Daphnia pulex: one gene and its partner. The protein of the gene in region 2 interacts with the protein of the main gene of each other region in a pairwise test. Links are inferred from orthologs where the notes say so. Each region holds a gene or a part of one and is shown on either strand. Other genes may lie near its edges.

Region 1 (3,699 bases), on a different chromosome or scaffold from region 2:
TGGCTGTCAAACACTTTCCACCGGTGACATAGTAATCACCAAAGTCTATTTCCCTGAGGGGGACACTTCTGCCTCGGATATTTGCCTAACGCCTTCACCCAAAAAGACGAAACCTGCCCAGTTTCAGTAGAATTGCAATCTTTCGTAATTACGAAGTGTCTATGCAACATTTTTATTCCTTACTATTTATATGATTCTGTTGATTTATCTCTTAGAGTAAGGAAGTAGCATGAAAGCTATAGATACCAGATAATACTGCCTTAGTGTGTGAATGACAAGGTTGCTTGACACTCTTGTGATGAATTTTATGTTTTTGTAATCATTTGACAAGGCCTTACAGTGGAAACTAATTTCTGACTTTTCCTATATTGAACATTTCACTTTTTAAATCTGTTTAAATAGAAGAAACAATTAACTTTTCTGTGCATTGCACATCTCTTGACAGCAAAGAGGACTGTAGTGTAAGAGAATATTTTGTTGTTTCATTAGTGCTTTTTAATGCTTATGGGGATTCCAAAGCTGTGTACATTACATTGTCTTGTCTTGCAGGTCTGACAAACTTCTTTTAATGGAAGTGTGTTAAGAAATGGAACTATCAAATCTCACTAACAATTTTAGCTGTCCTCAAAACACTTTCAGATTTTGAGGAATGTGTATTTTGAGGAAAATGCAATCAGTCAATACAAAGTGGAAAAGAGTATCATGTTTTAGTCTAGTTTGAATCCTTTTTTTATGAGGTCAGCTTTGGCATCAACTATCTCTTGTTTTAGCTCTTTGGCAGCCTCCTCGCAGTCATTAAATGTGTAGACTCTCCAAGCAATTATTGAAACAGAAATCACCTGCAATAATGAGGGAAAAAATTGCTATAGATAATACGCACCATATCATATAAAAACAAAACTTACTGCGAATGCGAGTAATACGTAAAATGGTAGGAACAGAACGAAATGCCGGGCAAAGTCGCTAGAGTTTCCAACTGGTGTACTGATAAAGAGGTAAGCCCAAACACCAGCAAACAAGCCTGCACCACCCAACCATTCAACCAATTTTGTCATAGTGAATAATTGACAGAATGACAACAAGGAGAAAAAACGAATGACAGAAAGAAAAGAATTTGCTGGCGTGTCATGTAAAAATCAAATGTCATGAATTTCTGCATAGTTGCCTGAAATACTTGATCATTTTCATATGGTTATCTTTATTATTTCGTGATATTTTAAAACAACACTAATTCATTTTTTAAGTTTTCTTCATTTCAATCAGAAAATAATCAATTAGCTTATGAAATATTTTGAAATAATGAATTTTCATTTTCTTTGCGCTTCGGGCTCATAGTAACAAAGCAGACGACACTACAGTGCTGTCATTTGCCGGTAGTTGAATTGTTATTGTTTGTTTAAACTTTTTCCTTACTCTTTCCGAAATGGAGGAAGAAGATTTAGGTGACGATTTCTCGTACAATAGTGTTGCCATTCAGTCAAGTGAAAAACATGAACGCGTTATCATCCATATAGATATCGACTGTTTTTATGCCCAAGTTGAAATGATTCTAAATCCATCTTTATGTGGCAAACCACTTGGTATCAAACAGAAAAATATTGTTGTAACCTGTAACTATGAAGCAAGAGCGCTGGGTGTTGAGAAACTTATGTCAATAAAGACCGCACTAGAAAAGTGCCCTTCCTTAGTACTTGCAAATGGAGAGGACTTGAAAAAGTATAGAGACATGTCAGAGAAGATTTATCAAATTCTTCAATCGTTCAGCCCATTTGTGGAGAAACTTGGCTTGGATGAAAATTTTATTGACATTTCCCACAAAATCAACAAGTCCCCTGAAATTAAACCAGAAGTTTCTGGACACATTTTCGAAGAAAAGAACAGTGATGAAACTTGTGCATGTGGTTGTACAGACAGACTAAAAGAAGGTTCTATTATTGCTCAGGAAATGCGAAATCAACTAAAAAGTGAACTTGGAATCACCTCCTGTGCTGGAATTGCTTGTAACAAGCTTCTAGCTAAATTGGTTGGAGCAACCCATAAACCAAATCAGCAAACCACCTTGTTCTCAGCATCATCTTTAAACTTGATGAAATCATTGAAGCATCCTAGAAATATTCCTGGAATTGGTTCAGCAATGAACAGAAAACTAGAGGTTCTTGGTATTGACACCATAGAAAAACTTCAAGCAGCAGATTTGTTTAAGCTTATTGAAGCACTTGGAGTCAAAACAGCTAACCAAATTCAACAACTGAGTTTTGGGATCGACGATAGTCGTGTCAAAATAACCGACAGACCGAAATCTATTGGAGCCGAAGATGGATTTCCTACAATCAAAAGTGAAACTGAAGTGCGCAAGAAGCTCAAGTGCCTGCTAGATCGAGTTTGGGAGTTAGTGGAGAAGGATGGCCGTAGACCAAGTCAAGTTAAATTGACAGTTCGGAAATTACATGCGACCAATCACAGTGTCAGAGAGGCCCGCCAGACTGCAATAGATCTTACGACTGGAGTTCCTAGCAACGCGCCATTAGGACCGTTAAGTGAAAATCAAGAAAAAAAAGTCATCACGACTCTAATGAATCTCTTCGAAAAGGTAGTAAATTGCGATGAATCGTGGCAAGTTACATTGTTGGGTATTTCGTTCTCTGGTTTTCCCTCTGGCATCGAAAGCCCAGCGAAAAATTCCATCAACAAATATTTTACTAGTTCATCGCGACCGAACGAAACTTTGCCACCTCCAACTAAGCGTGGACGCTTTGACGAATCTGTCCTCCAAGAATTACCTGATGACATCCGTCAAGAAGTTTTAGAAGATATGAAGTGTCAAATACCATCATCAAGCACCTCCCAACAGTCAGCAGATTTTGATTGTCCAAAAGGTGTCGATCCTCAAGTTTTTCGCGAGCTCCCGGTGGAGATCCAGAAGGAACTGCTGGCTGGGGAGAAAAATAAGAAGCCAATCGCAACCAAAAAACCTAATAACTTATTACAGTACTTCCGTAAAGTGTAAAAATGTGTTCTGTAGTAGCTATAAATGATCAACAAAGACATGTTATTTCATGGATGGGATATAATTTTAGCCACTTCCTTATCTTTCGAGACCAAAACACCTTTTCGGCCATCTTGTCTAGTAATTAGCAACAACCAACGTTAAGGTAAGTGAGGCGTTTTGTTTCCGTTTTGTTGTTGTTGTTTTTTTCTAGAATACTTACTATCCTGGCATTTTTAGTTTTTTTTTAAAGATTTTGAAATTTGAGGTTTGGCCACACAGAATGCTGAACGACCAATTTTAGAAATCTTATATTATATAAATATTCATCGAGTTTGCCGATTGTTGTTTAGTTTACATGTATATGTATGAAAAAATGAAATTGTCATTCTAGTTGCATGTCACCGTCGACGGTTTCCAGGACATGTATGGTGACGGTTTACATCATACAACTTATCCTTTTCTGGAACTCTATTACTGAACAAAAGTAAATAACCAACAATTTCTAATGTAAATTTGCTTTCTTGCTTTCACTTCATACGAGACGTGTGCAAACTAGCAGACCCTAACATTTCACATACCGCTAAATGTTATTCGATGTTATTGACTGAAACTTTTTTTTAATTTTGCTGCATAAGAACTGTATTGGCGTTTTCAAGGATTACTTCCGAAAACATCGTCAACTACATTTTAAAACAATATAAATTTGGTAC
Region 2 (4,197 bases):
TCTTTTTATTTTCCAATTCCTTATAATGCTGTAGGGAATAAAGCAACTCTCTAATCTTGTTAGATGAACTTATGGTCTCATTTGATTAGGCACGAGACAAGTCAGAGATGTAGAAACAAGTCTAAGATGTCGTGGATCTATTATTATTACCGTCAATACTGCGAAAAGCTTTCACGTAGCGCGGATTGAGACAACGGGTCGTTGGGTTCCATGTCGACAAAACATCAGCGGGCATTATTTCCTTCCGGTCATCCGACAGATTGAGTTGTGCACAAAGAGAACACAAGGCCTGGCCGCCCATCTCTTCATATCCACTGCGGATAATGTAACTGGTTTTCCATTTCAAGTACCTCTCGTAAAGTGTTTGGTTGCCATCGAGCAACAGCAAGTAATCGGCCAGTTGTTTGGGTGAATAACTCAGGGCGTCGATAAATGAATACGGCGGAGCAATGTCGCTGTAATTGGCCCTACCCATGACAACTGGCACCACGTCAAGCTTCAATATCGAATAGAATTTCTCCGTGACGTAATGGCTGCACAGTGAATTCTCAAACGACAGATAAAACTTGTATTCCTTTTCCAGCATGTCGTAACATTCCGGATGTGAAATCCCCGTATCAGAGTTCCATTTGCATTTCAACGGACCGCAAAGACCAAAGATGTCGATAGGGATGTGCTTCTGCAATTCTCTGACGTAATTTTCTCGCCGACTTTGAGTTGTGTTGCAATGCGAAACAAACCAGGCGACCAGTTTTGTCTTTTTCCTTATTAGATAAGACTTGGATTTTAAATCAACCGCTGCCCGTTCTATCCGGCCATACGGATAAGGAATGTTTGATTCGGGCAGATAACTCATGGTCCAGTTGAAATATCCGATGTAATCCTTTTGGACGTTTTCCTTGTGATAGAAAGGTGATTCTTGGCTGAAAAAGATGTAATATTGATGACTCTCCCGTGTGTCGGCTGGTGGCAGCTTGTCAGACTTTTCCAGTTGATGAAGCACAGCCATATTGAAAATAATGGCATCAAATTTGCCCAGTAAGTTTGATCGACGATCAGTTGTGACTCGACAATTCCTGTACGGACACGAGTTATTGTTGGGCAAACTTCTAAGAAAGACTTTCATTTCGATTCGATCGTAACCGTTCCACAATAGAATGTTCTTCGTCTGATGGGACTCGGATAACACATCATTAGGGTGGATGCGCACTATTACTCTTTCCCGAGTGATCGATGTCTGATGATAACAAATTATAGTGATCACAAACATTATTATAATTCCAGCCAAGGATAAGTACCTAGAGACACAATAACGTTGTTCCATTTCTGGGAAACAAAACTGGCAGTTTATCGTCTTCTTCTGATTAACACACAAATACGAATGAAGATAATACCCCTGGCAAACCATCAAATGAAAAAGAGGATACATGTAATTATCTCCGGCCATCATCATCTGCTATACATTTGGGAAGTTTTATAATTGTTCAAACAGGAAATACTTTGGGCGTTCCTCTTCCCATGCTCTTCCTTTGTTTCCTACATTTTGAGATTTGTTTTCCTGATAACATTCAAATCTTCTTTAGTAATTGGCATATCTTTTTTTGTGTCTTTCCACACTTTCAAAAAGAATAACAACAGTCCTGATCCAGTAGTTTTATTTAATTTTTTAAAAACTAAAATTTCAAAATATCTTTTCCGAACACGCGATTTACAATATCTGGCAATGCGCAATTTCTTCTGCCATCTAGTGATATTTTTTGAAACAATTTATGTAAACAAACGTGCACAGCAAACTCAAATGTAGTGGAAAATTTTCTTGCAAGTGTTGAGATTTTCTTTTTTATTAAACGATGGCTGGAAGGGGTAAAAGGAAAAATAGGGACGATAATGGATTTGCAGAGTGGGTGAGACGACTTATTCGACTTCTGACACTACTAATTATGTTATTCATATTTGGAATCATTATTTACAGGGGGGTTATATGGCAGCAAAAATTTCTAAACTAGAAAATCAGTATTTGAATGAACAATTCAATGAAGTACAAGAAGATGATAAACTAAGCAATGTATTTTCAAATGTTGCAATTTTTGTCAATGGATATACCAGTCCAACTGCAGAAGAACTGAAGCGCATCATGCTGGCCAATGGAGGAGTTTACCACCATTACTATAATTCAAAAACGACTACTCATATAATTGCGTCCAACTTGTGTGGTGCTAAAATCAAGAAACTCAAGGGCGACGAAAAATTTGTTAAGCCAGAATGGATTGTTGAAAGTCTGAAAGCCAATATGTTATTGGATGTGAAGCCCTATTTGCTTTACACTGGGCTAACTTTAGACAAAGGGCAACAAAAGTTGGACATTGCTTCAATACAGAAGAAAAATGATGACAATCAAACAGCAATAGAAAGAAAAATTGATGAAGCACATTCCTCTGAACCTGTTCCACCTGGTGATATTACTAGACATTCAAGAGAAATGAAACGCGCAGGAGAAGACGATTTTTTATCTGAATTTTACAAACGCTCAAGGCTTCACCACATTTCCACAATGGGAGCGTTATTCAAAAGACATGTGACTGAGCTTCGAGAGAAAAATGATGGTGTTTTTCCAGGTACAATTTTGATAGCAGCATTTTATTAATGCAATTACATGTAATATTTAAAAATTTAGGTATGGAAAGTATTGAAAACTGGAAGAACTTGACTGGTTGCCTAGGAAACTACAAGTGTGAAGAAACTGTTTTCATGCACATTGACATGGATTGCTTCTTTGTCTCGGTTGGACTGCGCAACTATCCATCGTTGGTGGGTAAACCGGTTGTTGTGACCCATGCAAGAGCTGACGCTAAACCGCTTCCAAGACGCGAAGGCAGCAATCGAGAATATGAATTCGACTGCTATAAAGAACATTGGATCAAAAAATCGAAATTTTCAGAAAATAACAGCAATGCTGTTGATACGGTGGCTACGCTTTCAGATGTTTTTCCACGACTTCAGGATTTGGATGAAACTTGTTCCATGTCCGAAATCGCTTCGTGTAGCTACGAAGCTCGCGCAGCTGGAATTTATAACGGAATGTTCATGGGAGGTGCCTTGAAATTATGTCCTAATCTGGTTGCCATTCCGTACGATTTTGAAGGATACAAGGAGGTAATACATTTACAATCAATTATTTAAAATCTTTAATTCATTTTTCCGTTTGTGGGCGTGTTTAAGGTGTCCACCTCGCTGTACAATACTGTTGCCGCGTACACTTTGGACTTGGAAGCCGTCAGCTGTGATGAGTTGTACGCAGACATTACCTCCGTTTTGCGCCAAAGTGGACTCACGCCAGCCGAGTTTGCTACTCATTTGAAAGAAGTCATCTTTAATAAGACACAATGTAACGCCTCTGTCGGAATGGGCCCGAATATGCTGATGGCTAGGCTTGCAACCAAAAAAGCCAAACCGAACGGACTGTTTTATATCAACAAGAAAGACATGAATGAATTTATGAAGGACCACAAAATTGAAGATCTGCCGGGTGTCGGAAGGTCCATGGCTCATCGACTTCATGGCATGGGCGTTCGCACTTGTGTTGAAATGCAGCAAGTATGTGTACATAGCTTCTATTTCATTAAACAAATATGTAATTGTGTTTCTGAAAATCAGGTAAGCTTGGGAAAGCTCCAACAAGAGTTTGGTCAAAAGCAAGGACAAACATTATATCATATGTGCCGGGGAGAAGATAAACGCGCTCTAAAGGTATTATCTCAGTCTCAGGTTAACTTTCCATTTCAAAATTGTTAATATTGCGTGGTCCACATAGACGGACCACGTTCGAAAATCTGTTTCGGCAGATATAAATTATGGAATTCGTTTCGCAAATGATCAGGAAATGCACAAATTCGTTCAAGAACTGTCCATTGAAGTGTCCAAACGAATGGAAGAAATTCACGTAATTAATTTAAACATTTTTTTAACAGCGAAAGCAATTTTAACTTTGTTAAATGTCTCTTTAGGTGAGAGGAAAACTGTTGACTTTGAAGCTCAAAATCCGCGCCAAAGATGCCCCTGTAGAAACAGCGAAATTTATGGGTCACGGAGTATGTGATAGCATTTCTCGATCCACAACATTGTGTTCTGCCACTCGCGACACCAAAATCGTCGAAAAAGAAGTTCAAATCCTTTTGAAACAACTCAAAGGTAGTACGC

The links. The genes of interacting proteins can lie anywhere in the genome.
Region 1: the proteins of DNA repair protein REV1-like (region 2) and DNA polymerase iota-like interact in a two-hybrid assay, tested with the Homo sapiens proteins (2 studies listed by BioGRID). The link is inferred for Daphnia pulex from reciprocal best matches to the Homo sapiens genes REV1 and POLI.

What each region holds. Positions count from the first base shown.
Region 1 is NC_060019.1:7,787,826-7,791,524, reverse strand, and holds DNA polymerase iota-like, read left to right. Parts: upstream 1-1,349; 5' UTR 1,350-1,423; coding exon 1,424-3,007; 3' UTR 3,008-3,045; downstream 3,046-3,699. Other genes in the region: egalitarian protein homolog, read left to right, coding at 1-130. UniProt on the Homo sapiens protein: Error-prone DNA polymerase specifically involved in DNA repair. Plays an important role in translesion synthesis, where the normal high-fidelity DNA polymerases cannot proceed and DNA synthesis stalls. Favors Hoogsteen base-pairing in the active site.
Region 2 is NC_060017.1:8,178,757-8,182,953, forward strand, and holds the start of DNA repair protein REV1-like, read left to right. Parts: upstream 1-1,382; 5' UTR 1,383-1,850; coding exon 1,851-1,904; intron 1,905-1,972; coding exon 1,973-2,615; intron 2,616-2,674; coding exon 2,675-3,153; intron 3,154-3,219; coding exon 3,220-3,594; intron 3,595-3,654; coding exon 3,655-3,747; intron 3,748-3,811; coding exon 3,812-3,940; intron 3,941-4,004; coding exon 4,005-4,188; intron 4,189-4,197. Other genes in the region: alpha-(1,3)-fucosyltransferase C-like, read right to left, coding at 122-1,324. UniProt on the Homo sapiens protein: Deoxycytidyl transferase involved in DNA repair. Transfers a dCMP residue from dCTP to the 3'-end of a DNA primer in a template-dependent reaction.